4 separate regions of the Mus musculus genome follow, and all the other regions are reported to be linked to region 4. The links are microRNA targets in miRTarBase. Many come from high-throughput screens and were not tested one by one. Region 4 holds a microRNA gene; each other region holds the end of a gene's coding sequence.

Region 1 (7,150 bases), not on the chromosome of region 4:
CAGAGGTTAGACCAGAACACAAGACATGACACTTCCCTCTTGTCCCATGGTGGGTGTGCTGAGCTACCAGGAGGCACCACGCCCTACTGTCTAATATGGAGGGGACTTTGAGTTACCCAGGCAAGGCTCCTCACACAGTTTCAAACTTTCAAGTAACGTATATCTCGTTAAAATATAACAAAAGACCCATGAAAGATTGTGTCCTAATGAAACGCATTATTTGGCTCAGATCTGGGCATGTCAAAGTATTACACTTAGTTGACCATTGTTGTTTGACTCCTGGAAGTTCACACGATGCAGATTTGGTCCTCTCTGTGGGTTTTTCAAGATGGTGGAAACTTGAAGAGATCCAGATTAATGTGAGGGAGTTAGGTCACCAGATACACTGTTCTGAGAAGGGATAAATGACGATTCCTCAGAAGTCAGTTGTCATGAGAATGATACAAAGGACATCCCCTGCACCTGCTTGGCTTATACTGTAGATGGCCACTTCTCTCTTCTCTGACACATTGTGAAACAGCCAAAAAGGCCCCGTTAAAAGGCCAAACTGATGGAGCTGCCTGATTCTCAATTTTCAGCATCCAGAAGGACAACCTAAACCTTTCCTTATGAAATACCTAGCCTTTGGTATTCCATTACAGTAAAAGAAATCCGACTAATCTAAGCAAGCGCAGTGCAGTAGTAGGATGGCAGTTATATACGTGTCCCTGTGTATGTATATCTTGCCTGATATACCCTTATAACCAACAACACGCCTGTGTCAGACAACAGGAGTTAGGTGTTTATACCACATGGGGGTGTACCTTCACCTTGTAAACTCAGAACAGATGTCAATAAGATTTTGAAAGAGCAATTAATTTTGAAGAATAGGGCTAGAGAGATGTCTCAGCGATTAAGAGCACTGACTGCTCTTCCTAAGGTCCTGAGTTCAAATCCCAGCAACCACATGGTGGCTCACAACCACCTGTAATGGGATCCAATGCCCTCTTCTGGTGTGCCTGAAGCAACTGTGTGTGTGTGTGTGTGTAGCAAATGAAAAAAAAAAAAAAAAAAAAAGAATGTTCTTCAGGTTTACATCTGTTCCTGGTCTTCCAGACAGAGTTCAGAGTGGATACTGAAGAATCCAAACAAAGGTGGTAGGATTTTAAAACTTCATCTGTGTCTGTGTCTAACACCTACAAGCCTTAAATACAATTAAATCAGCCAGGGATCTTTGTGATCCACCACCACCACCACCACCCCAGTTCTGGGAATAAAATTCAGGACTTCATGCATGCTAGACAGGCTCTGCCATTAAACCATATGCTCAGCTTGACATTTTTAGCTCTTTAAAAGGTATCCAGACAGGGGTATGTGAACATCTGTTCTTATGTCTTTCTTTACTGAAAGGTTACCTACAGATATAAGAAAATTCTCTGATGTTGTAATGCTGAGTTCAAGGGAATTTGATAAATGTACAGAGTATAATCACCTTTGTCACCTCAGCCACAGAACAGGTAACACCTTAGTGCCCCACCTGCAGCCGCTGACTGCTTCCCTGGTGAAGTCTTCACAGGTGACATTGGACAGCAGGCACTTTTCTGACATCTTCCTGATGCCTTGCACACTAGCATTTCTCAGGCAGTACTCCTTTCTGTTGCTGAGTTTTAATGTCTGCATAAGTCACAAACTGTTTATCCATTTACCTGCTAATCTGCACTTGAGTTTTTAATTTTAACTATTTTTAGTAAAATGGCTAAGAAAATAAAATGAAAAAATGGATCTCTCTCTTGGGTAAAATATCTAGTAATAAAGAACTACTACTATACCGAGAAATATTTGTACTAAGTTATCACAATAAAGGAAACAAATACTTTTCTTATGTTATAATAAAATTTATTAGCTGAATCTATGTAAGACATGTTGAAGAATCTGTAGATTTTCTTACCCTAAAAGTGGCAAACACAATCACATACATCCAACATATTCCAGGATAATATTTAAATATTGTTCTTTACAAATTCAATATATTATAAATCAAGTAACATAGCGCAGTCAGACTATTATTTAGACAAGTAAACCACACATTAAGAAATCGGCTGCATATGTAGCAGAAGATGACCTAGTCGGCCATCATTGGGAAGAGAGGCCCCTTGGTCTTGCAAACTTTATATGCCCCAGTACGGGGGAACGCCAGGGCCAAGAAGTGGGAGTGGGTGGGTAGGGGAGTGGGGGGGGGGTATGGGGGACTTTTGGGAAAGCATTTGAAATGTAAATAAAGAAAATACCTAATTTTTAAAAAAAAAGAAAGAAAAAGAAATCTGCTGTGACTTTTAAAAGAAAAGATAAAAGTTGAAGAATCTCTAATTTAAAAAGTAACACAATTTCTATTGGCCCATTTTTTAAATAAAAAATATAAAATGCCCAGGTTAGACTCCATTCTCTTTAATTAAAGAGAAAAAAAATGTGTTTCATTTGTCCTTAGGCTAATCTCCCATATCTAAGTCTCTAAAATATAAAACTTTTAAGTATCAGAATCCAGGGATATAAGCTTTCACTTTCAAAATTACATAGAATCCTAATGTTAGCTAATTATGATCTCACAAAAACCTTACCACTGAAGATATCACTTATTTAAATAATAATAATGCCATCTGCAGTTGTAAACTAGGTCATCATTATATAATACAAAAACTGACTAAAGAAAATTTCCAGAGCTCTTAAATAGCTATCTTTAAAAAAAAAATGAGTATTTTTTTATAATATTCTGGAATATAGAGAAAGATACATGAAAATTACGTCAAAGAAACTTCAAAAGCAACAAAGAAAAACATGTTTCTTCAAATTGCTTTCTTTCTTTCTTCCTTTCTTTCTTTTTTTCGTTTTTTTTTTTGGGGGGGGGGGTTGGTTCTTTTTCAAGACAGGGTTTCTCTGTGTAGCCCTGGCTGGACTAGAACTCCCTTTGTAGAATAGCCTGGCCTCAAAATCACAGAGATCCACCAGCCTCTGCTTCCTGAATACTGAGATTAAAGGCAAACATCACCACGGACTGGCTTCAAATTGCATTCCAAAGTTCCCAAGAAGGGCATCCTGACTGAACTAATGAAGATAAAATGTATTCCCTGATAAACTTCTGTAGCAAAAACTAAAACTTCAAGCAACATATAAAATGAAGAGTTTCCTGGTACCTATCATAGTATTTACATTCCCTTATCTCAAAGACCTGGAAACACAATGTCAAACTGACTGGTCACAGAAAATTATTCTAAAAGTACAAATGGATGTCACAGACAAGGAATCTGACAGTTTGACATCCCCACCCACCTCTGAGCCACCTCCTCCCACAGCACTGGAAAAGATCAAAACCGCCTGCCACAGACGGGGTGCCCAGGGTGAAGAAGGCGGGGACAGTAAGGCACGGAAGACACTGCCTGCCACACAGTGGCCACAGTGCACGAAGACACCACCTGTGTCCACCAGGCCCTGGAGCAAGGCTCTGTCTGATGCATCAGTGCACCCAGTCCTTTGGATGGCGCAACACTTCCAGAATTTCAGCTTCTTTGGAATTCTCTGGGGGAGAATGCATGTACTCCCATCTACGCATGTCCAAAACGAAACAAAAAAAAAAGCAAACAAAATAACAATAAATGACATACATAACTAATGGAGAATAAAACCCTAAGAGTAAAAACAATGCATAGTTCCTCCACCCCACTGTGACTACTGTGTCTCTACTATATATATATAAAAAAATCAGCTACTTAAGAGAGTAAATTTCTTAATAAGTCTTAGGAATATCTGGGTTAATACTAAGATCCTTTCATTACAAACTTGGGTTTCATAAAGTATAGAGCCTTGGGTAGTACACAGGTAGCTTAAGTTTTACACTACAAATGTATCTTTCTAGAAAGAAGGCTGTGAGGAAAGGCCAGACTCAGCTTCCCACTTGCTCTCTCCACATCCTCAGATACAAAGCGCATAGGACACACATCCTGTCACTTCTTACAGAATCCAATCTGGGCTTTATTCTCTCACAGTTTTCTTATAAAAATCAGACAAACATAAATGAAGTATTAGGTAACACCCTGTCAAGGCTAATGTGCAGATTCCATGGGGCACAGGAAGTTACTATGACAGGAGTTACTCACTATAGGACACTGAGTTACTATGACAGAGTTACTATGTCAAGGGTTACTATGACAAATCAGCTTCTTACCTTGCTGTTAGAGGTAAAGACATCAAGATACTTTCGATCCTGGATCCTGGAGTAAAGAGGCCAAACTTGGTGCCCCGATCATACAACAGATTAAACTCCACATACCTGTCAGAAAGACACCAGATAGTCGTAAAGGTGTGTTGAGCGAAACTTTCTAGAAATCCTTAAGGAAAACGAAGAGTGGCCCTTCTCCCCATATCTCATACCAACTAGCTTACACACAGCACACAGCTTACACAGCCCAGCGAGCCCTCTCCTCTGGAAAGCGTAAATAAAAGGGCATTCTACCCGCCAAACAATTGGATGCAGATTGTGCCCAACACAGAGCCCAACACAGAGCAACCACAAATCAGCAAGGTTATGTTCTCCCCATGAATAAACAGTGCAAACACAAATTGGGACCAGGCACGCACAACAATTAAGAAAGAAGCAGCATTGTTTCCTGGGTAACCCAGCCTGGGTCCTCACTGTTGCACAGGCATTCAGGAAAAGGGCTTCATCAGGGGCTCACAATACTACACTAGGAATACCCAACTTCCATAGGTTAAGTGCCAGGAACTGCTGAGCAAGGAACTTACGACTGCTGCTACTGCTGCTGCTACTACTACTGTTATTATTCTATAAGGAATAGGTTTATGTTATTCTATAAGCAACAGTGACTAAAACAGCCGGGATCTGCCTCCTTCCCTGCCAGAGTTCACAGCATCAACAGAGATGGGACCACTCATACCTCCTCTCTTTACAGCCATCACTGTGAAAGCTACAGCCTTGCTCTTCAGTGCTTAGCTTAACTTGGTTTTGTTTGTTTGTTTTTGTTTTTGTTTTTGTTTTTTTGCTTCTTTTCTTCATGAAAATATCTTGGTATCAAGTAAAGTTAGGCTCAGTGTATTGTCCAAATTTTCTACTAACTGTTAGGGAACCAGATCTGAATTCTATCTAGCTTAAACATCTGTTTCTGATGTTAACATCACAGGATTCAAAAATCTCTTCAGATTTAAACTTGTACTTTCTACTGTCCTAAAGAATTCAGAATGATTCATAAAAATGGTTTTTTAGGGGTAGGGGAGGGACGAGATCTATATAGGGGATATAGATGACAAGTTATGACTAGACTAAGAAACTGAAGCCAGCGCTGACCATAAAGGGCCTTTGCGATGATGCTGGAGCTATCTAAAGCCCCAGAGTCTACTGCTATCTTCCAAGCCAAAGATAACAGTGGCAGACAGCTTCTCTTTTGAACATCAGTGACCTACTAAGCTATGAGTGAGTAACCTCAGGGGACCCAAGATAAATCTAGAGAAAGGGGGTCAGAATGGGAAGCATATGGGTGACAAATTGGCAGGGGTGGGGGCCTTGTATTGCTTTAAAATTTTCTAAAAGAAAACTGACTCTATTCTCACTTCATTAGGCTGTTACACGGGGACCTGACAGGGCACACAGTTATGTGAGTAAAACAAACACCCAAACTCAGAAAGGTAAATACAAACATATTTTATCTTTAAACATGGAACATGTAAGTTGACTTCTTCAAGGCCTCTTCAAGGCACAGCTTTAGCTCCTTAGGGCTCAGGTGCCTGAGAGTTAACAGGAATTAGAAGAACTCGGGCTATGACTGCGACTTATGGTACACATGCAATTAACATGAGCAAGGAAACTGCCGGGGGCTGGGAGAGTGGGTGTGGCGAGCTGGCTCACGAGGGTCACTGAGCCTGAACACAACCTATCTTGCCACCTATGAATTCATCAATACAATCAGGGGCCGAGGTTAAGGATGGGTGATACAGGAGGACTTTCACATCTGGTGTGCCATCAGACCTGCTGTGTAGTTTGGGCTTAAGGACTTACTGGTAAGGACACCTTATGGTCCGTATATGATAACACCATATATACCACAGGCTTCCTGGGAAAACCAGACACACAATGGCTCCCTCATACAGGGGTTGTGCATAAGAGGTCCAAAATAAGTAAAGGTGATCACGAAGACTGTATTACAATAGCTTCTTCATAAAATATTTAAGACGAATATTTTAAAGTGTGACTCTGAATTTATAAGCAAAAGAAGAAGAAAAAATAATCTTAAATGATGCCCTCATCTTAGCAGAAGGTAGAAGCTGTCACTGGGAAATGAAGAGAAAAATATTCCACAAGTTCTTACCACGTAAATGCCTACCACAAATACACATACAGGTGAATTAAGTAAATCTTGTGACATTGATTATACAACGTCGTTAAGTTAATTTTTTTTTCTTAAAGATTTATTTATTTATTTATTGTAAGTACACTGTAGCTGTCCTCAGACACTCCAGAAGAGGGAGTCAGATCTCGTTACGGATGGTTGTGAGCCACCATGTGGTTGCTGGGATTTGAACTCCTGACCTTCGGAAGAGCAGTCGGGTGCTCTTACCCACTGAGCCATCTCACCAGCCCATTAAGTTAATTTTTAATGTTCGTCTACTTAAGAAAAAAAAATCACCGTGGATTAATATGACTAGTTATAAAGTATTTAGCCAAAACAGCACAACAGCCACTGTGCCTGGAGGCCCTCCAAGTCTGTGAGCTGTGTAGACTGTTCACCCTCCTGTCACTCACCGCCCTCTCCTCAGCTGCTGCCACAGCTTGTCCCTGGGGGTGTAGGAGTCATCGCAGTGCTTCTTCACAATGGGAACATAGGAAGGGACCACAGCCTCAGCACACGTCTTCACGAAGCGGAAAGCCTCCTCCTTGGAGGGGGAGTCAAGATCGTCAAAAAAGATGCCGCCGATGCCCCTCCGCTCCCCGCGGTGAACTATAAAGAAGTAGTCGTCACACCTAGAACGGGCAGCAGAGAAAAAGCATGGACTAAAAGATGAGAGATGCGTGCGACTTGAAACGATCCGTTGGGTTCAACGCCCGCTCCTCGGCTCACCCCAGCAGTATCTTTGTTTTCTCTAGGACTACAAAACGAGGACTCTAGCC
Region 2 (7,448 bases), not on the chromosome of region 4:
TGATTAACTGTCACCAAACAGCTAATGGTAGCCATAACCCTGACCCTGGAGGGACTCAGAATAGGAGATATAAACAGATGCTGTCTCAGAGGCCATTAGAACATGAGCTAAGAGGGGAGCGAACAGGTAAGCGGCCTACGTTTAAATCACTAGAACCAAATAAGCCCAAGGCCATGGTGTCACTATTTTTTAGTTACATGGACCAGTTTACTTTTTCTTTTGCTTAAGCCACATTGAGTCATCCTTTTAACACCCCAAGACTGACCTGACTAACATATTCTTCCTTTATATAATCTTTTTCTATGAAACACAAAAACACTGTATGTACACGTACACACACACACACACACACACACACACACACTTGAAAGGTACTTGCACTTTATTGCTGTGTTAAGTAAATGCCATTTAGGTCACTATGGATGTGCCAAGGGAGGCCTGTTGCTTAGGAAGGAGGAGGCAGTAACGGACTTAGACACAAAGGAGGTATCCATCCCTTTTATAAGATGAAGGAAGGGATGGGAGTAGGTGGGCCAGCCCCGCCTTAAGAATTCAGGTAAAAAGATGTACAGTCTAGCTTTGGGCCAGCATTGGGTACTGGCCAATACTGAAGCACAAAGAACAGCAGCCACGTTTAGCTAGAGGAGTGGAGAGTGTAAGAAGCTTGTTCTAGAGGCGCAGCCACTGGAAACTTCCCTCACAGGCAGCGTCTGAGTCTGCTTGGGCTGCTACAATAAAATCTCACACAGGAGTCAGCTTAAGCTTAGATATTCTGGAGGCTGAGGAAGCCAAGATCCAAGAGTCCCACCCCTAAAAACTGCCAGCCAAGAATCCCGTTCCTGGCATAGCTGTTCTTTAAAATTGAAGAGAGGATAAAGGCTTTCTCAAATAGAAGACAAGGGAGCCATCCTAACATCCCCACCACAGGCAGTTCTTCAAGCCGACACTAGAAACAAGGAAAGACACAAAAGCATAAAACTCCCAGGGAAAGGAACTAAGTCCAGATCCAACGAGAACGCTACTGGATGGGATGCAAACCTTCCAACCATTTACTTCCACTTTAAAGGTTTAAAGACAACACCATTAAAATGATAATCACAACCATGAGTTATTAGGTGCACAGTATACAAACAAGTTAAGCATGGTGTTTAAAATACAAAATGTCGGAGGAAGAGCAAGTTTTCATATGTGCGCCCAGCTTTTAAAACAGCCTGCGGTATCACTGGACTCCTGAGGCTCACTGCAATCACAACTCCAAACCTCCACTAGACAGACAGGAGACTCCACCAAAGAACATCACCGCGCATACAAGGGGCCAAGAGGGACATCCACAGCCACGTGGAAGTGAGTCCTCACCTACCCGTAACAGGAGACATTTTAGAGATGTGCAAAAAATGTGTAAATACTATGCTCCTGAACAACTAATGAGCCATACGGGGGCTTAAGAAAATTAAATTCCATACAAAAAAAAATTAAAGTTATTAACATGTCTGCGCTAACACCATGATCTGCAGATGCCGTGCAATCCTAGGAAATTCCCAATGCTGTATTTTCCCAAAAAGCAAAAGCTTCCTTACTATGTACACAGATCCACAAGATTCCCAACAGCCAAAGATATGCCAAGAAGGAAAACAAAACTGAAATTATTACCGTTATCAAGCTTCAAAATATATTACAAAGACACAGCAATGAAAACAGCATTCTGCTAACCTAAGAAGAGATGCAGAACCCAATGGGAAACAACAGAGGCCGCAGAAGTAGACCTACACCGGCGTGGCTAGGACTTGACAAGGAAGCCAAGACACCCAGTGAATGGAGAAGAGCTGTCTTCAATAAATGCTGTTGGAAAAACTGGATGTCCACATGCAAAGGAACGAAGCTGGACCCTTATCTCACACTATATGAAAAGCAACTCAAAACAGATTGAAGACTTAAGCATAAGACCTCACTCCAAGAAAGGATTAGATAAATGCAAGAAATGCTATGGCGCTATTTATAGTTACGTCTTCAGCAACGAAAAGGAAAACGGGCCCACCAGACTGCTTCCAAATAAAAGTTTTCTAGCCGTGTAAATAGTCAAGGGTTAAGACTGACTACAAAATAGGAGAAAATAGTTGATAAATACTTACTATCTAGGATAGGTGGTATTAAAATTCAACAACAAAATGAAATAACTCAATTAAAAATGGGCAATGGACTTGAACAGACGTTTTTCAAAACAAGTCACAAAAGTGATTGATACATACATGAAAATATACTCAACATCACTAATCATCAGGGAGTTGCATATAAAACCATAGTTAAAACCATATCAAAAAAAATCAAGGTTTGCACTGTTGAGAGTACGGGAGAGGGGATGCACACACAGTAGGAGGTCATATACAGGTACATGTAACAGGAAAACAGTATGGAGCCCTCCAGAAAGTCACAAAGGCCACTCTTATGACCCAGGAATTCCACTTCTAGGTATGCACCCAAAGGCATCAAGCCAGTCTGTTGAGGAACACCTGCAGCATCATTCATCTCAGTGCTACTCACAAAGCTAGGGTAGCGTCTGCCCGGTTGTCTACCCACGGCTGAATCAGTAAAGACAACAAAGGGCACACGCCTGTACACACAGATACACTACTTGTGGCAACAGGGATGAACTTTATGGACATTGTGTTAAATGAAAAAGGCCATGCACAAAAGGAAGACAACAGCACAATCTCACTATGTCTAAATGTTCACGGCAGTAGTTACGGGGGCGGAGAGGACGTCATAGCTAAGGAGGCAGTGAAGGGTCAGCTATGAAATGAATGGAGAAAATAGTACAAGCCATACGTGAAAACATGGAAGAACGTGGGATTTCATTCAGGAGGAAGAAGCAGTACAGCACAGAGATTGCTGTTGAAATCTATACATCCTATATTCTTCGAAAAATATATTCTTGGAAGTATTCTCACCACAAGAAGTAAGAATGTGAGGCTCAATTCAGCCACTCCATGATGTTTACATAGTAAAAAATCATGTACGAAGTAAATACAATTTTTACTTTTTAGTTAAAAAAAAAAAGAGAGAGACACAGTCTAGCGGTGGTGGCGCACACCTTTAATCCAGCACTTGGGAGGCAGAGGCAGGTGGATTTCTGAGTTCAAGGCCAGCCTGGCTGACAGAGTGAGTTCCAGGACAGCCAGGGCTATACAGAGAAACCCTGTCTCGAAAAAAACCAAACAACAACAGCAACAACAACATCAACAACAAAAAAGAAGAAAGAAAGAAAGAAAAAAAGAAAAAGAAAAGAAGGAAAGAAAAGATAAAACGTTAAGAGAGACAAAGCAACCCCTCCCCCAGCGGAATGTTTACTCCATCACAGGCACTGGGTGGTCTGGACAAGGCTCAGGGTTTGGGTCACTCACAGCTCAGTTCTCAGTTCTGGTTCTTACTCAGGCATTTTGCTACAGCAGCCTGAGCAGAATAAGGCACACCCTAAAATAATTCCAGTTATGAAGATCAGTGAAGAGATTTTAGGGCACCAAGAAGTTGCGATATGCTCTTTGCTGCTGCTGTGACCAAGACAGAAGGTGCTTTCTTGTCCTTTGCGCTGACACTAGCTGCTCACACGCTGGCTCCACAGTGTTCCCTCTGTGCCCGCAGCTCAGACGCAGGGGTACAAACAGCAGACTCGAAGGACTCGAAGGACTTCCGGGGCTCTCAGTGTCGCGACATTCCCCCGACAGAACTCAACTCCAAAGCCAACACGTTTTCATGAAAATATATTTAATCTTATTCAAATTAGAAATCCCGTATCTCTCCCCAGTTATTTTCAAACAAAGGACCCCTGTCAACAATCGTTGAAAATGGTAAGAGGCAATCTCATGTTGATTGAAAGGTAGATAATCAAACACTTTTGACGGGTGACCTATCTACAAGGACTTGTTCACTTCAAAGGAAGGGATCCCATCGCTGCTATGAATCTGAAGTGTGAAGAAGGTCTATGCTATGTCAGTTAACACTGGTGTAATACACGGAGGACTGGGCTCTCCAGGGAAGGGTGTCACCGAGCAGAGACAAACACAGAACAACAGAAAGGGTAGGAGCCACTTCTGAGAATACTGGCTAGTGCTGAGCTCAAGATTAGTCAGAGGGAAAAAAATCAATGTCCGTGACTTTAAAGAGAAGCGAGTTCTCTTTGGTACTACGGACCTTCCCGTGATTCTAGAATCCAGATTACAGAAAGGGATAAAAAGATGAACAAATCACAAAACTAGAGACTCCTGGCTCTGTGCCTCCAGGAATGGCAGTGCCCACTTGCTCATCCTGCCAGCACCCTCATCAGAAGTAGATGTGGCTGCTCTGCCAGGCCTCCACCAGTGGGGGCCTGGTTCCTCATTGGGTCTAGCACCAAGTGCGGGTCTCCTGAGAGGTCAGCACCTACTGGGCCATCTTTCGGATCATGTAGTTCAGGATGCCTCCATTGTGGAAGTACGTGAGCTCCACATCAGTGTCGAACCTCATCACGGCCTGGAAGGTCTTCCCAGTGTCCAGCTGCAAGAGCAAAGAGGCAGAGCGCTGCTGAAGGCGGGGCTGAACCGAGACTCCCACCTCAGGGAGACTCCGCCTGGCTTGGCTGCCCACTGGCCTCAGTTGGGGCGTGGTATATGCCCACAGTGCCAGCAGCGGATGGAACCAGTGGTCTCTGCACCCAACAAGAACCCTGGGAATTTATGTGCCCACCAGAGGTTGAGGAGCATTGCAGAATTAATGACACAGGTGTAGCACATGAGAACAAAGTGTCCTCTCAGGGCAGCAGCTATGAGTGACACTGTGACGCTTTGCCCTAAGTCTTTTCTGGACATGCTCTGGGCAGCAGAGGTCTCTGGGGTTGTTCCTTAAGCAGCTGATCCAGCTGCTTGCCTTGGGTCATCCTGGGACCTCAGCAGCTGTCTCTGCAGTGTCAAATCCCCTTGGGACTTTGGCAGAGGGCACTTTACTCTCGCCTCTCCTGACGATGTGTCATTACCTCGACATGGGTTACTTTTCTGTTGCTGTGAGAAAACACCATGACCAAAGCAACTTATGGTTCTCAGACTCCATCATGGTGGGAGCCACAGCTGCAGGAGGAAGATGAGCACTCGAGGGAACTGCAACTGTAAGTCTCCGAACTCTCCAACTCGGCCCCCAGTAACACACTTCCTTCCCCAGCATGGCGTACAACCTAAACCTCCTGGAGGCACGAGCGAGCACTGCTTACTGAGAGTTCAGATGCAGGAAGAGACTGTGGGGACGTTTCTCGTTTAAAGCAAAACCATGGGGCTAACTAAGTGAAGCCTGGGCCTGGGACGAGGGTCATGGAGGGCGTACATACAGAATTTGTTGATGACAATTTCATTAAAAAAGAAAAATTTTAGATAACAGGAAAGCATCACCTCTGAACTTGCATCACTAATCTTTGGGCTGAGAGAGACGGAGAGAATGGGGCTGGCTGGGGATGGGCGTTCAGAATGAATTGATAAATGATGCTAACCAGCAGATATTATCCTACGAAGGACCACGAGGCTTCACATCGGATGTCGTCTGGAGTTAACTCCCCTCCACCCCACTAATTTCTTCTGTCAACTGATGACAAACAACAGGCCTTGCCGGTTGTGCCAGCAGAAGCCCTGCGTACCTTGATCTGCACCGTCATGCGAGGCTTGAGGTCTTCAGGGATGTTGATAGTGTATCTTTCCCGACCTGTGAGTCCCAGAGAGTCTGCAGTTTCACCAGGGAGATACTCAAGGGGGATCACCCCCATGCCAACCAAGTTGCTGCGGTGAATGCGCTCATAGCTCTCTGCCAGGACAGCTTTGATTCCCTGACGAACCAAGAGAGATGTTTAGACACAGCTCCAACTTTTCTTTAAGAGGTACACAGACACTTTGCAAGACGCTTCTTTGGAAATTCTCACAGCTAGATTACAGACCTGTTGGTCCTTCATCTCAAATGCCATCCTCTGGTTAGAGATAGCTGAGTGGTGAGTCGTCTCCGACTGCCTATCGTACACCAGCATTTTGTAAACACCTCCTTGAATTCTTTCCTGCCCTCCAGTAGCCTCGAGATCCAGCCGATGCTATTACAGCTACCTTTCACTGAGGGAGTCTCAGTGGTGGGATGCAGTATTGGAACCCATGAGGTCTGACCATGCATTGAACCACTTTGAGACACAAGAGCCCTTTAGAATACGTATCTCAAAAAAATTATATATACATGTGTGTGTGTATATATATATATATATATATATATATATATATATATATATATATATATATATATATATATATATATATAATTTTCCTTTCTTTGGGTTTTATTTTATTGTGGGCACACATCAGCAGACACCAAGGGTTTAATCAGATCTGACATGCAGAATGTACTACTAATTAAACGATTAGCATGCATAGCTTTCCCACCTGCTAGTTCAGGATCAAACTGCACTCAACAGTGTTGCTATGCAGCTTCCTATAAAGGGCCTTTTATTGTTAGTGTGCAACTGGCAACATACAGCAGTGACCAATACAGCAGAGAACTGTGGTAACTACGCTTTCCTGTCAGTTATCAATCCTTAGATACAGCCTCAAATCTATTGCACCAGAACCTTGCAGGGGTGTGAGTGTGTGTGTGTGTGTGTGTGTGTGTGTGTGTGTGTGTGTGAGATATTACATTTAAGTTTGAAGAACCTGATTGTAAAGTAGTAGGTATTGAAGCTGTTGCATGTTAGAATCACCAGGGGAGGTTTTAAAAATCCCAATGTCTAAGCCTTTATTAAATGAAGTGTATTCTTTAAAGAGAACATTTAACACAAGAAACATTGGCAGAATATAAAATGTGCACACCCTTTGGCTGGTGCGGTTGCTCAGTGGGTAAAGGCACCAGCCATCATGCCTAAGGTCCCACAAGGCTAGAGTCAACTCCTGCAAGCTATCTTTGCTCCGACTTGTAGCTGTGTGGGCACTTGTGTGTATGCACCTGCATATGTATGAGCATGAGTGAACATACTAAATCCATGCAATTTACAATGAAAGCACCCACCCTTGCTTTACCCAGCTCCTCACTGCTGAGGACTACAGCACAGCCTGCAGCTTGCTCCTTACACTCACTGAGGACTACAACCTTAATACATCTCGGGGCTCCGAGCTCTGAGACTACATGTTGGAACATGGTCCAGGAATGGAGTCATGTGAGGATAATTCTGAGTGCTTTATGAGAAAACTCCAAGAAGCAACACAAGGGTCTTGTGACCTCAGTTTCTTCAGAACAGGGAACTGCTCTTGGAATGTGTTTCCGTGCCTGCCCAGGTATAGTGGATTGGAGTAAGTTTATTTTCAATTACTCATTATTGCTTGCTGTCATTATTCTATTAAATTATTATTCTATAATCCTATTATTATTATTATTATTTTGAGACAGGGTTTCTCTGTATAGCCCTG
Region 3 (7,448 bases), not on the chromosome of region 4:
ATTCATAGTGGGATGTGTAGTGAGAATATTCGTTCCTTTAAAAAACAGAAATATAGGCCGGGCAGTGGTGGCACATGCCTTTAATCCCAGCACTTGGGAGGCAGAGGCAGGTGGATTTCTGAGTTTGAGGCCAGCCTGGTCTACAAAGTGAGTTCCAGGACAGACAGGGCTATATAGAGAAACCCTGTTTCAAAAAAACAAAACAAAACAAAACAAAACAAAAACAAAAATAAATGTCAGAGCCTAGAGAAATGGCTCAGCAGTTAGGAACACTTGTTACTCTTACAGAAGACCATGGCTAGATTCTCAGCACCTACAAGGTGACTCACAACCTGTACTGACAATTTTGGAGTTTTGGTTTCCTTGAAAAACACAGAAATATTATAAGGTAGTGTTTTCATTTTGATTCTAGGCATAGGGATATGGAGCTGCTTTGGACTGTGCACAGGAGATGGCTATCATTTGTCTTGTTCTCTAACAGGTGTGATTTTGCCAGGTGCGGATAATTTCTGTGATTGTGTGATGTTTGTAATTCTGGGGACTTTTCACAGAGTATAGAAATGTTAGGGCCTTGAGAGGTGCGGTGGGTTGTTGGCTGGTTGCTGGTGGTTGTGGTTTGTTATGGGAGTTCTCTGACAACCAGAGCTGGGGCTTACCTGACTCTGTTCCCTGCCTGTAGATCCTGTTCCCCTAACTGGGCTGCCTTGTCTAGCCATAGTGGAAGAGGATATGTGTGTGTGTGTGTGTGTGTGTGTGTGTGTGTGTGTGTGTGTGTGTGTAAATTACAAGAATGTGTGCTTAGTAAGGAGATAATTTACAACACTTAAAATTTTTTGGATGTATTTATTTTACTTTATGGGTATGAACATTTTGCCCAAATGTATGTATGTATGTATGTATGTATGTATGTATGTGCACTACAAGCATCCCTAGTGCCTATGAAGACCAGAAGAGGGCTGGAGTTTTCAGTGGACTATATGCTCCCATCATCTGAAAGGCTTGTTGTATACTTCCATGATTGATTGGATTTAGTACAGAGCAACTGCAACTGCTGTTAATTAGGTATCCACTCTGTGCCGGGTACTACCTTAAGCACTACTAACTGTACAACCCTGTCATGCTGTGAATCACTCCACAACATGAAGTCACCTGGTGTCAGATAAGGGGAAGTGCAGGGGCTAGTACTGGGAAATGAGTTAATAGTTCGTCCCTAAATGGCAGCTATTGATAGAGCTTCTGTCATCGCCAAGATCTGTGAAATGAAGCCATTGTTTGGGAGAACTGGGAGATGGGCTGAGAGAAAGGAGGGCCCCAGTGCTCAGATGGGAAGAGCTCTGTAAGACCTGAGCCGAGCACATAGGCGCTGCCTGCCTTTGCCTGGTAAAGAGGCCCAACAAGGTAGCAGGGGAAACTGTGGCAGAGGTGTAGCCCTGGAGACTGATATTCAGTGCTAGATTAAACTGGATGAGAGTCTACTCTCTGATGGCGAGGATCTAGATGTGAACTGAATCTGGGGAGGGTAAAAGGCTCTCTAGTCTGGGCCTAGGGTGGTTGGAGGAGGGGGATTAGGCCTGCTGCCTACCACTGTGATCTTGGGGGAACATCCTTCAAGCCCCGCGGCACGACATGAGTGAGCAGGAAAGGGAGACAGAAGAGGATGAAGGCGTTGCCTCAGACACAGCACCCATGCTACCCCGAAGAAGGCCTACTGATTACCACATCTCAGTCCTGGCTCCTATCCTGGCCACCCGAGGCCTCGGGACCCTGGTGCTGTCTGGCCGGGCTCTAGTTGGGTTCCTGCTTCATCTGCTGCTACCTGGAACAGTCTTCCTGCTGGTGTTGCTACCAGCAGCTGCCGTTGTCTACCTGGGATTCCTGTGTCACTCAAGGGTGAGCAGTAGCCATTGGTTAGTCCCCGGGAAGTGGGGAAGTGAGAGTTCTGTGGAGGTTCAAGTCCTTGGGGTTGAAGGTGAATCTACCCCCTTCTAGCCTTGCCCCTTTGTAACCAGAGATATATGCATCCTCCTGTTATGCCAACATCCCTGCCAGCTGCAGTCAAAGAAAGTCTCTTTGTTACTCGGTGAACAGCTGTCTTGCTTCCCCCCCCCCGCCCCCCCCCCCCAGGCCTCTTAGCTTTGTACCAGGAGGTACTAGGGCCTGGTCAGTGAGGTTGATGTGGAGATAGGAAAAGAAATTGTCAGATTCACCCGTCCTCAGTGCTTCTCCACTCCTCATACTCCTCCCCCCCACCTCCTCCCCCCCACCTCCTCCCCCCCACAGCCCTTCCCTGAACCCTCTTGACCTTGGTTAGGCTTCCGCTCATCTAAGGCTTGACCTATACATAGACGACCCCTATATCCCCTTTCTGAAGCTGATAGAGAGAAACGATGCTAGCTGGGTGACAGTCCAGATGGAGCCATATCAGCTGTCAACAGGTAAGGGGCATGGAAGGAAGCTCATATGGGGACAGGAAAACTGGGTTGGGAGAGCCAGGGAGGTTCTCTGGCCTTTCCTTAAGGAATCCCCGAACACACACTCTTGGTTCTGTTCTCGCATTTCTGTCCAGGCTCCACCTCCAGGCAGGCCTCCCAGCCTTACGCTTTTCTTTCTGGACTCTGCCCTGAGCTCGGGGCCCAGGACCTCCCTCACCCCTGCGCTGCTCTGGGGCCTCCCCGCCTGACTGCACGCCTCCACTGTCCACAGGTTCATCCGGCTCCGGGTCCACGGTGCCGAGCGCTGCTCTCGGACCGCGGCTCCGCGGCGCTCATTGTGTTCGGATTGCTCTCCCTGCCGCCGCTCGTGGTGCTCGCCGCCGCCGCGCGCTCCCTCCTGGTCCGGCGACTACGCCCTGCGCTGCCTGATCCCGCGAGGACCCCGGCTCCGCGCCGCCCGCCCAGGAGCAGCGGAGATCTGGCCGACGGCCACCCGGACGAGGACAAACAACTCTGTGCTTGGGTCTGACGCCTCAAGGTCTCTGCGCGTCAAGAGCCTCCCAGGTCCCTCGACCCCCGTAAAGTGGATGACTCGGGCGGCTGCTTTGGGGCTCTGAGAGCAGTGCTCGAAGTCGCCAGGAGATGGCAACAGGGTCCCTCAGAAGAGGGAGAAAGGGTGTCCCTTCAAGAAAAGCAGAAAAGCATATTATGTCTTCCACCCAATTCTGTGGTCAGCAGCCGACTTGGCAGCTATCTCTGAATCCCCCCCCCCAACCACGCATAATTCTAGAAGCTCCGGTGTAGCCAGTAGCAACCAGACGTCATGGCTCAACTTGCGGGATCAGCTGAGTCCTCCAAGGTCTTGACCTTGTACAGGACAAAAGATCAGTTGGGTCCATGGTCAAACTATTGCCCGGATCAGGTTTGAGATAGGATCTGGGATCAGTGATTCAGTGTAAGTGCAGGATCGGCGTGTCGTTGTTAATATGTAATTTATTTTTATTTATTTATTTTTGTGCGTGTGTGTATTGATGTTTTGCCTGCATGTGTATCTATGTGGGGGTGTCACAAGCCCTCGAACTGCAGTTACCGGCAGGTGCGAGCTGCAATGTGGGTTCTAGGACTGCAACCTGGGTCCTCTGGAAGAGCAGCCAGCTGTCTTCTAAAGGACCCTGAGCCATCTCTCCAGCTCCTAGCACTCAGCTTGCATTCGGGGTCAGGTATCAGCGCATATCTAGAACTGGAGCTCATTCTCTGACCAGGGGTCTTTCTTTTGAGACAAGTGGCAGAATACGAGCTCATTTTACAATGTGGGTAATGTTAAGATTTATCTTTGTATTTGGCATGCTACAGTTTGACTAACATGTTCCTACTTACGCATAAATTATCATTCTCCTTTCCCTCCCTGTCTCCTATCTTCTCCTCTTCCTGGGACTCGTACATACTAGAACTAGAATATCTTGTTTCTTTTTATTTTTATAGAATATCTTATTTCTTTTTATTTTTAGTAGTCCTGGGATGGACTTATAAATGTTAGGCAAGCACTCTACCACTGAGCTATAGCCTTAGCTGTGGATATATTTTTAAAATTTAAAGTATTTTTAAAATTATTATTTTTGAATTTTATTTGTAGACCAGGCTAGCCTTGAACTCAGGGAATCTGCCTGTCTCTGCCCCACTCCCCACCCCCAAGTACTAGGAATAAAGGTGTGTGCTACCATCCAGGGTTAAGCCTTGAACATTTTAATTTTAAAACAGAAATTCTACTACTTCTACTACTGAGTGAGCCCTCCAGATCTGTTTTGGTTGTAAGGTTCTGCTTCAATTCCTGCCTCCAGGTTCTTGCCTTGAGTTCTTGCCCTGACTACTTTTAGTGTAGTGAGATCTGGGAAATGTAAGATGACATAAACCTGTCATGATGGGTTGTCTTTTGTCTGTTTGCCGGCCTGCCTATCTATCTGTTTTGTTTTGTTTTTAAAGATGTATTTATTTATTTATATGGGTACACTGTAGCTGTCATCAGACACACCAGAAGAGGGCATCAGATCTCATTACAAATGGTTGTGAGCCACCATGTGGTTGCTGGGAATTGAACTCAGGACCTCTGGAAGAGCAGTCAGCACTCTTAACCACTGAGCCATCTCTCCAGCCCCTATCTGTTTATTTTTAAGTCAGGGTTTCTCTGTGTAGCCTTTGCTATGCTGGAACTTACTCTGTAGACCAGGCTGGTCTTGAACTCACAAAAATCTACCTGCCTCTGCCTCCCAAAGGCTGAGATTAAATGTGTGTGCCACTGCTCGGTTGGTTGGTCTTGAGTTTTTTTTTATTTGTTTGTTTGTTTTTAAATAATTTATTTTATTTAATATACATTGGTGGCTTTGCCTGCATTCATGTCTGTGTGAAGGTGTCAGATCCCCTGGATCTGGAATTACAGACAGTTGTAAGCTGCCACGTGAGTGATGGGAATTGAACCCTGGTCCTCTGGAAGAGCAGCTACTACCGAGCTATCTCTCCAGCCCTTTGATCCTGATGTTTTATCAAAGCAATAGAAACCTAAGGCAGGCACTAACTTTAATAGTCTTGTCCAGAGACAAAAACAACCAGTCATCTTAGGTTCCCTTATGGCACTAGCTCATGGCCCTCAATACAGAGTACTCGCCCCTTCCCCTCTCTGCACCCCAGCATGTCTCTCTGTCCTGTGTTCAGAGAACTCTTTATTTTCCTATCAGTTCCCTTCAATATGCTGGTTGCTTCTTATTGTTGTGTTATTACTTTTTTTTTCCAGGACGAGTTTTCTCTGTGTAGCCCTGGCTATTCTAAAACTCACTCTGTAGATTAGTCAGACCTTGAACTCAGAGATCTGCCTGCCGCTGCCTCCCGAATGCTTGAATTAAAGGAGTATACCACCACTTTCTAGCTTGTTGCTAGATGTGTGTGTGTGTACATGTATGGATGTGCATGTGCCACAATGTATGTGTGTTGTGACAGTCAGAGAGGACAACTTTTAGGAGTTGTGGGTCCCAGGGATGGAACTCAGGTTGTCAAGGTTGGTAGCAAGTGCCTTAACACCATGGGTCATCTCTCTGGTCCCTTGGTTTATGTTTTTGTAATGTTTAATTGTTGGGGGCGGGGGGTTGTTTGAGACATATTTTCTTGTAAGCCCAGCAATATGTTAAAAATATGCTCATTATAATTTACCTGGAATCTAATTGTATCAGACTTGTTTTGTTTTGTTTTTGTTTGTTTGTTTGTTTTTACTTTAACTTTTGCAACTCTAACCAGGATGCTCTAGAACTCATGAACCTCCTGCCTCAGCCGCCCACATATTGGAATTATGAACATGCCTCCATGCCCAGACCTAACTTTTTTTTTTTTTTTAAAGGATCCAGCACACTGTTTTGCCAGTGTGGCTCAGCCAGGGTCAGACCTCAGCCTAACTAGGATTGAGTGAATTTTGTAGTCTCAAGCGTAGCCCAGTGTGTGGCTGAGTCCGGTCTGTAGGGTGCCTTGTGTGTCTTGGGGCTTTCCAGCCTTCATCCGTGTCCAGCTTTGATTCTTTTCCTGGTCAGACAGAATGACGGAGCCAGCTGGTCGCCAAGCGGCCCAGGAGTGCTTCCTCCGGAATGAGGCTGCCTTCCTTCTGCTGGCCAACCCCAGAGGTGGAAGATGAACACTCTCCTGGGAAACTCTTGGCTGAGGATTGGATCTGCCTGGCCCCACAGTCATCAAAACAACAGCTGGGCCTGGTGGGGGTGGGGAGGTGACTGTAGAAATCAACTCCCAAGCTTAAGTGGCTGCTGGTGGGGTGAGGAACTCTGTCACAGCAGCTGCCTCAGACATTCCATTTCCGAAAGGTGTTTCCCAGCTTCCCAAGCCTATCTTGAGCCTTGGGTGTCCTCCAGTGGCCATGGGGATGTCCAAGGGAGGGCAGTGGGATGACCTACTTCAATCCAATCTTCCAAATTTTTCTCTTTTCTCTTCTCTTCTCTTCTCTTCTCTTCTCTTCTCTTCTCTCTTCTTTTCTCTTCTTCCTCTTCTTCCTCCTCCTCTTCTTCTTCTTCTTCTTCTTCTTCTTCTTCTTCTTCTTCTTCTTCTTCTTCTTCTTCTTCTTCTCCTTCTTCTTCCTTTTCCTCTCTCTCTCTCTCTCTCTCTCTCTCTCTCTCTCTCTCTCTCTCTCCTGGCCATGCTTTCAAAGGAACACTGTGTGCAGAGCATGGTGGATTATATCTGTAATCTCAGCACTGGGGAAGCTCAGGCAGGAGAATTGCTATGAGTTTGAGGCCAACCTGGGCTACAAAATAAGACTGTCACAAAACAAAACACTACTGTGCTGTGAATGGAGCTGGATATAGAAGGGTACAGTTTGGTGTTTATGTGGGGGCAGACATGACCTTGGTTCTATTCACAGCATCACACACACAAAAAGGAATGCTGTGGAGGTCATGGGAGATCTGTGGAAGAGGTCTGGGGTCTGTATTTAGCTGTGAAGGACAGAAATGTGCCAGCTGGTAGATTAGAGCCTGAGGGCTGAAGAGACAAGCTAGCTCACCATACAACCAGACACAGATCTGGGGTCACTGTCCCCCACTCCACCACCACTGGACAGGTCCGAAAAGGGGGGTTTGGGGCTGAAAGGAAAGTGTGAGGCTGGGCCTTCAGTCCCATCTCTGAGGTAGGCCTGCATAACCTACTGTCTCCTGCCTTGGTAGTACTGTGTCTAGTCCCTTCAAGTGTCTATCTCCTAACTCATACCTAGCACAAGCTCATGACAGAAACATTTAGAACCTAGGATCCTCATGTCTGGCCTGAGAGTTCAGAGCACCTTAATTCTTCTGAGGGCCTCTGTCTCCTCCCTCCTCACCGGTTCCTCAGGGCGCGCCAGGCGAGACCTCCACTTGGATGCAGACTTCTTTCCCAGTAACTCAGGGCCTGCCTTATAAAAAGGAACCTGACTGGGGTAGGCACATATGCAAGGCTGTGTCCTGTCTGTACTCCTCTTAAGCTTTGAGTCATAGC
Region 4 (7,448 bases):
GGGTTGTTTAGGTAGTGGGACAAGAGCCCAAAGCTGAATGTCTCGGAGAAAAGATTCGAACCTAAGTCCCTGACACTGCATCCTGGTTCACTCTGCCTCAGCATGTCACAGTCAGGATCGAAATGCCGTTCTACCTGGGCTGCTTCGTGAAGACGGATTCCAGACCCAGAGTGAAGCACGGGGGAAAATGCAGACACTGAAAAATTAGTTTTGGAGGGGGGATGGAGGGGCTCGTTATTTTGGAGTAATTCAAGTTATCGATTTCTGTAATGGAAAAGTGATTGGGGACCAGCTACCACCTGAGAGCAGTGTTGCTGGATGTTTAGGAAGGAGGAAACATTACACACAGCTTACAAGGTCTCATATACAATGACAGCCCCTTTCCTGGCTGTCCCCAATTAATCAATAAACCCCATGAGGGTGGGCATCTTGTCCACTCATGTCTCCCCCTCCCATACCCGCCTCAGGTGCCTGTCACAATGCCTCGCCCTGGGCACTGAATGGGAGATGCAGCCTATCGCGGGCTGCCAGGAAGAAGGAGATGATGCAGCTGTGCATTCTGAAGGCTCCTGGGCAATGTGCTGCCAAAAGGCAGATGTGGATAGGCAGTGCTTAAGAGCGATACAATTGAACGGCAAATGGCCACCAAATAACTCAATTAAAAGGCAGAGGCAATGGTCTGGCCATCCCCCCCGAGCTTGCCACAGCTCTCAGTAAGGTCACCCTGGCTGCGTTTCTGTGGATCTTCTGGGAGAGGAGGGGGACAAAGAACATGTCCTGGCTCAATTTAGCCCTCATCCATATTGCCTGAACACCATGATTTCAAGCAGGGAAAATCCTTTTGGACTTTCATGATTTTTTTTATATTTATTTATTTATTTATTTGCCTAGATATTTAGAGGGTAAAATACTATGGGTGGGTGGATGGATGAATGGATGGATGGATGGATGGATGGATAGATGGATGGATGGATGGATGGATAGATAGATGGATGGGGATGGATGGAGCAGAGATGAATTGACAGATATGTGGGTGGATACAGAAAGTATGGGTTCAAGGGAATGACTGATGGGTCAGGACTAAGAGGGCTGCTTGGCTGGAGATGGATGCTTGGAGACCCTGGAGAGGCAGGTGAATGAACGAGCACTGATTGGCCCTGTGTTCTCCTGAGCCATTCACAACACAGGCCTGGACTCTTCAAAGCAGAGACTCTGTTTATCCCATCCCCAAATGAGTTCAGCATTTGTAACTGAGTGATGGATGTGTCTTGCTGGGAAGAAGTCTTCTAGGTCTAATATTGCCTGGTTAATGACTTATGGATTGTTGTAAAGTCTGGCACCACAAGAAGTGCAGCCAGGAGTTGAAGGCCTTGGAACAGATTTCATAATAATAATACCGCATTTCATCAGCTAGGTGTTGCGCAGAGCCCTTTCCTGGAGGGAGCCTCGCTGCCGTTGCTCAAGGCTGTTACTACCCCACTCTGCGGATAAGAACCTGAGGCTCAGAGGGGGAGACACTGTACCTTACTTCCGAGTGTGGAGGTGGATTGTCTGGCAGGAAATCTCAGCCTTTGATTTTATAGTCTCTTAGTGAAGAGAAAAATTCAAGTGTAGATGGATAGAAGGAAGGCCACAGGGACCTAGTTCTAGACCTCTAAGAAGTGCTGTGGCATTTGGTGCATGGGAAACCTTTTGTTTGGACTGAGCTACTGTGACTATTCTAATGACAGTGTCCCAGAGCCAACCCCAAATTTTCCCCCTTTCTCTTCTCTGCATCTTCCTGGAACAGCAGAGATGGGTACATCTGGTTTGCCTTCCTCTGTCTGGTTTCTACCTGTTCTCCTGCCATTCAGGAGCAGTCGGGAGCTGGGGTGTGTTTCTCCTTCCACAGAGGGAAGGAAGTCAGCCCTTAGCTTGGAGGGGCATCCAGCCACTCGGAGGGTAGGAGTTTTTGTTGCTGCTCTGGGACTGGCCATGCGAGAGGAGCTACCTTTATGATAATGAGAGGCCTCAGTTGGATTTTCTTCTTCCTCACAAACTGGTGTGGTGGCATGGATGGGCTCTGAGCAGAGCTCCCTAGGAATGGTGGCAGATTCTCCTTGCTCCCCTCCTTGCTAGCTCCTGACCTGCCTCCTTACTCCCAGCTGCCCAGGGGTCTCCTAGAGAGGGTGCCTCTGTCTTGGAGTGCTTCCAGGATCAAGCGTGTGGTTCTTTTTGTCACTTGGTGGGAGGAATCAGTTCCACCCACTTAGTCTTAAAACCGTGGTCGCATGCTTCTGAAACAGTGGAGCTTTCTGGGGAAGGAAGTGGGGAGTCGTACCCTGGCCTGAGGTCTTCAAAAGAGCCAGGGGCAGTGTGACCCCGAGGAGGACCCACGGGGTCGCAGAATCTATGGTTCTCAGTCTCCCTGTCTGCAAAGCATGCGGCAGAACTAGAAGACCTCTCAGGTGCCTTGGCACTAGCTGCTTGGGGAGTCTGTTAGTGCTGATGGAGACTGTCTAGAAAAGTGCCGTGGCTTCCAGCAGCCTCTGCTCTGTGCGGCCCAGCCGACCTCATGCCTACCCAGCTCTATTTACTTTATTTATATCTTTGGCAATGATGCCCCGTGAGCACTATGTTGAACCTGGCATATGCCAGGGCCAGGGAGCTGGCCTCTGCCCCTTGATGGCTATTTGTGGTCCTGCTGTCTCTTTCTCACTTACCTGCAGCATCCCAGGGCAGACAGTGCACACCTCTGGTTGTTCCAGGCACAACTGTTGAGGAGCATGGGAGCTTTGACATCAAATAGAACCTGGCTCCATCATCAATTGTGGTATTTATTAATAATGAGATCTCTGATTTATAGGAGGTGCACTCCATGCCAGACACTGTGGCAAGTTTAATACAATAACTGTGAGGTATCCGTTACTGCTAAAACTCAAGTTTAATAAATGTAAGCTTCATACTCATTTTAGAGACGAGAAACTGAGATTCAAGTATATTTTACCTACTTTAAATCTTAAATACTTTAAATCTTAAATATCTTTTTTTTTTCCTCTAGGGGCTGAGCACTCTGGCCCACCCTACCTAAAGTAACAGTTTGCCTCTACCCAGGTGCTCACAAACTCCCTTAATGTCTCCCCTCTTCCCCCACTCAGGATTTTCTAACACACAAGACTTTTACCGTCATGTTTATACGAGCATGCCTTGCCAAATGTCAACATGGAAGAGATGTTGCCAGTGTTGTTCACCGATAAATATCCAAAGCCACTAGAATAATGTGCAGCACATAGTGGTCTGTATTTGATTATCAGTGACCAGTTGGTTACATAACTCCCTCAGGTGCAAATTACCTGGAAACTGAAAGCACACAGCTTAGGAACCCAAGCTGCAGAGTAGACAGTTTGGGGTCTAAATTACATCGTCAGCCACTTCAGTGAACTCTGACCCTGTGTAGCTTGTTCTTCCCAAGCCTCAGTTTCCTTGGTAATAGAGTAGACCAGTAACATTTGCCTTTCAGGATGGAGTAAGGATTAATGCAGACATCTATGCAGTTTTTGGCATATAGTGGGCATTCCGTAAATGTTAACTTCTCCCCGAGGATGCTCTTGTGTCTTCTTGCTTCTCATTTCTCCTCTGATGGTCTACCCTCTGACTGAACCACTGTTCCACAGTGCTGTGTAAGAGGGCAGAGCTGCTGAGGGCAGAGGACAGTGGGATTATCTGTCCTGTTAACTAGCCCTAGCTGCCTGCCTCCTTCTTCCTCCTTCCAGGATGTTCCTGTTGCCAAGGAAACACAACCTCAGCCCTTGGCAGGTTTCTGACTCCCTGTGGCTTGGCTACTGAGCTTACAAAAGGAATGAGACAGCGGTGACCATGGGCAGAGAGGTAAGGGGAGGGATTTGACTGTCCTCCTGAAGTTGGAGTCTGGAATCTCTGGAACCCTGAGATGATGAAATGATGAAATGTTCTCTGTCTCCATGTTCCTCTAACAGAGGCTGTGTTGGAGTTCTTGCTTGGTCCAGCCTTCTTGGTAGGGATGTGATGCCCAAGCCCTGGGAGGGGGCCATAGCAGCCAGAGTGACTCATATTCAGACTCTTGGCCCTCGGAATGGCACCTTCCCAGAGTTGGGACTGTTGGTGATGGAGGTGACCTGGAGAAAGTGACCAGGCTGGCCTGGTGAGGGCGCTCTCCATGTGGGTGTGGCCTGCTCTTCCTGCAGGCTTTGGTGTGACTCTGGTAGGATTGCTTCAATTCTCAGCTCTCTGGGAACTCTGTTTCTCCCTTCCCACTTAGCCCTTGACTTGGAGAAGGATGAGAGACTGTGGCTTCTGCCCAAACCAGTTGGCTACCTGAATGAAGTGGGTAGGCACGGCAGGGCAGGTAAGCATGCTAGTGGGAGACAGCCAGACTGTCTGGGACGCCACCCCACCTTTGCTTATCCCAGCTGTGTGATCCCGAGGAACCACTTAACCCACCCCTATAATTATAGCCTCTTCCTCTAGGGATTGCTGCAGGGATTAAGCGAGTTGGTTCTTGTAAAGAGTTTATGTCCAACCTAGACACGCTGAGCTCACTCACTGAAAGCCATTATTGTCATTCTGAGGGGGAACATTCCTGGAGGAGACTGCATCAGACAGAGTAAAAGCGATATTATTGTTGTAGTTATTATTACTATTAAAATTGTTAAAGATCGTTTTGAGGGGGTATTCTTGAAAAATGGAACGAAGGATGGGAAGGATCCCACTTCTGCCTTGGCTAGAGTTGATCATGTGTTATTCACCTGCCCTGAAGGTGGCTTTTCCATTTTTTTTTTTTTTTTTTACTTTTTACAACTTGGAGCATAACCTAAAAAAAAGATGTCAGGGACCTAAGTGGGTCTATGGGACAGAAGAAAGATGGGTGTGTGTGCTCCAAAGTGGACAACGAGGGCTCAGAGGCCATGAGCCTCAGGATGAGGAAGTGGAGGAGTTAAGGGGATGGGGACAGTGGCCTCCTAAGCCTTGCTGAAGCTTGCACCCACTCACCCGTGGCTGATAACGCTCAGGAAGTGAAATGAAGGTCTGGAGCCAGGGGCACCCAGCTCCAATATCTGGATGCCTGGTGAGTGGCGGGCAGGTGATGTTGGGTTGGTTCAGAGTCTGCCCATCTTCCATAAAGTTTAACCTGGTATTTTTTTCCTCCAATATAAGCTTCTTGGGTGTAGGAGACTTAACCTTCTCACTGAGGGGAGCTGGTTACCTTCTTCATGAGAAACCCACGAGGTCCTTAATCAACACTTGCTGAATGGACACACGGATAAATGAATGCATAGTGTTTGCTTCTCAGGCGCAGTAACCTGAGAACCTAGCTAGACTTTTAAGAAAGCCCCTTATAGTCCCCTCCCACACTATACTTGGCTTTTTCCATCCAGCTGGAGGGAAGGTGGTGTGCGTGTGGGGTATCAAACATGTTATCTTTACTCACTGTTACAAACCTAGAGCCCTACCCAGGCCCTGTTGCAGAACAGGGGCTCAGCCAATAGCTGTTGAATGAATGAACGCCACGGAAAGCCTTCTTACCCTGAGTTTGCTCTCAGCAGTTAGGGAGCCTTGAACTTCTTTCTTTGACTCCCCTGACATTCCCACCAGATAGGATGAAATGGCACTGCCAGACCCCGTGGCCTGAAACTCAACCGGGGGTGGGGGGGGGGGAGGGATCAGGCATCCTCTGGAGTTGGCCGTCACACTTGGTGTCCTTGGCAGGCTGTCTCGCTGGTTTTTATTTTTATTTTTTCCTACTCCCATTTCTCATGCTGACATGTGTGGCCAGTCAATGGAGCTCGCTATCTTGTCATTTCCTACTGCTCTGCGCTGCATTTGCGACCAGTCCCCGTGGGCTCTGGGTCTTCCTTGTCTTACTATCTCAGATCCACTTGTTCAGGTCTGAAAAGGCAAGGGCTTCCGGGGTGAACGGGGAAAGGTCTGAGCAGCAAGTGTACAGCCGCTCACCCTTAACATGATGGCAGGAAGAGCTGCATGCCTGGTGTGGGGGGCCAGCTGGCTCTGTGACCTTGGGCAGGGTGACCTCCACCACTTCATCTCTCTGAGTCTCATGTCTGGGGCCCTTGCAGATCTTTAATTCCCTGTCGATGGGTAGGGACGGTGCTGGTGGAATTGGAACGATTTTTAAGTTGTTATGTGCTTCCCAGGGAAATTGTAGCTGTTTTCATTTTAAAACTTTTCATTTAGGCTCTGGTTCTGAGTGTAAACACAGCGCTAGCTACAAGGAATTCATATTTGGTGATTTATTGGGAATATTATTATGGTATCAGGAAAGGGTAGTTTTTTGTTAAATATGTTTTTAAAAGGCTTGCTGCATTCTTAAGCATGATTTTATTATATCTTCAAGCGACTTTTTTCCCCCATGAAGAATATATCTGTGATTTATAATGGGCCTTCACTAGCAGAGCTGGTCATGAGCATATTCTGTGGTGTTACATCATCCCCAAAGAGTACTCTGGCTACGGGCACTCCCAGGCTCCCAAGCATATTGCAGAGGCTGAGTTGCTAAGTTCTTTCTAGAAACCAGCACTGCTGGAGACTCACCATACCTATGTCCAGTCACGCAGCGGGGAGTTGGGGAGAACAGGGGGTGTATGGATGTACTGACCCAACTCTCTTGTCATTTACGGAAAGGCAATGGGGTTCCAGAACGGAGACGTTAATTCCTGGAAGGATACTGCACTGATACAGCACTGCCTCCGTGCCTGCCCCTCACCCACTCCACGTGCCTTGTCTGGTCCTCCGAGTATTTCCTTCACCCAGCCGCACGGCTGGGGCCCGAGGACGGCACTTCCCTTACGCCATGACTTGTTTCCTTGTACCCCCTGGTGGAAGGGTCACAGCTAATTCAACACTCCAACCAGCATGTACTTGCTCAGACACCCCCTCCCCCATGGCTAATATCCAGCAGAGTCTACTGGCATCATTTCTCCAGAAAAGAGGCTGGAAGACTTAGCAAGTTCAAACTTAAGCATTTTTTTTTTATCAACAGTCCCAAAGGGCCACCCTTTCCCTTTCCGTCGCCACCACCAATCCAATAAGGCTTCCGTAATCATAGGAAATCAGGTTGTACAAAGCAGCAGCAGCAGCACAGGCCGGATCAGCAGGCACAGGATACATTACTGAATCAACCGAGCCAGCAACCACCCAGGAGCCATCTTTGTCAAGGGCAAAACAAGAAGAAGCTCACGAAGATACAGAAATGACTGGACTCTCTTGGTTCTTCTCACGGAAGGAGGGGTGGGGTAGAGGAGATAGTTTTCCTTTTTCTGTTTTCTCAGAAAACATGCAAAGAAAGGCTTCACCAACAACTAAGGTCCCATCAGTATCTCCCAAACTTCCCTTTTCAAAGATGGCCACCCCTGCTGTCCGTTCGAAGGAGCACATGGCGGGATCTATGGGGTGTGGAGAGAGGTAGGCAGCAG

The links. Region 4 holds the annotated microRNA mmu-miR-3085-3p (UCUGGCUGCUAUGGCCCCCUC, at 4,039-4,059, opposite strand). A microRNA usually pairs through its seed, bases 2 to 8, with sites in the 3' UTR of a target mRNA and lowers its output. Matches are read on the target gene's strand: a 7mer-m8 pairs with bases 2 to 8, a 7mer-A1 pairs with bases 2 to 7 and ends in A, and an 8mer does both.
Region 1: miRTarBase lists Cpox as a target of mmu-miR-3085-3p. Seed matches in the 3' UTR shown: 7mer-m8 at 2,921-2,927.
Region 2: the mRNA of Aco1 is a reported target of mmu-miR-3085-3p. Seed matches in the 3' UTR shown: 7mer-m8 at 3,145-3,151.
Region 3: miRTarBase lists Tmem88b as a target of mmu-miR-3085-3p. Seed matches in the 3' UTR shown: 7mer-m8 at 3,581-3,587.

What each region holds. Positions count from the first base shown.
Region 1 is chr16:58,675,095-58,682,244 of GRCm38, reverse strand. It overlaps Cpox (coproporphyrinogen oxidase), which reads right to left. Exons shown (of 7, transcript NM_007757.2): 5 at 6,785-7,003; 6 at 4,196-4,300; 7 at 1,854-3,575. The coding sequence ends at 3,488. Among named protein-coding and RNA genes, the nearest start is that of Cpox, 8.5 kb to the right of the region's middle.
Region 2 is chr4:40,194,633-40,202,080 of GRCm38, reverse strand. It overlaps Aco1 (aconitase 1), which reads right to left. Exons shown (of 21, transcript NM_007386.2): 20 at 5,651-5,836; 21 at 3,072-4,527. The coding sequence ends at 4,414. Among named protein-coding and RNA genes, the nearest start is that of Ddx58, 41 kb to the left of the region's middle.
Region 3 is chr4:155,779,781-155,787,228 of GRCm38, reverse strand. Tmem88b (transmembrane protein 88B) reads left to right here and starts at 1,355. Exons shown (of 2, transcript NM_001033394.3): 1 at 1,355-1,890; 2 at 2,704-5,638. The coding sequence starts at 1,627. The coding sequence ends at 2,961.
Region 4 is chr19:42,276,057-42,283,504 of GRCm38, forward strand. It overlaps Mir3085 (microRNA 3085), which reads right to left and starts at 4,114; the gene lies at 4,026-4,114. Gm34347 (a long non-coding RNA gene) reads left to right here and starts at 1,009. Exons shown (of 3, transcript XR_386718.4): 1 at 1,009-3,867. It overlaps Crtac1 (cartilage acidic protein 1), which reads right to left. Exons shown (of 15, transcript NM_145123.5): 15 at 6,979-7,448.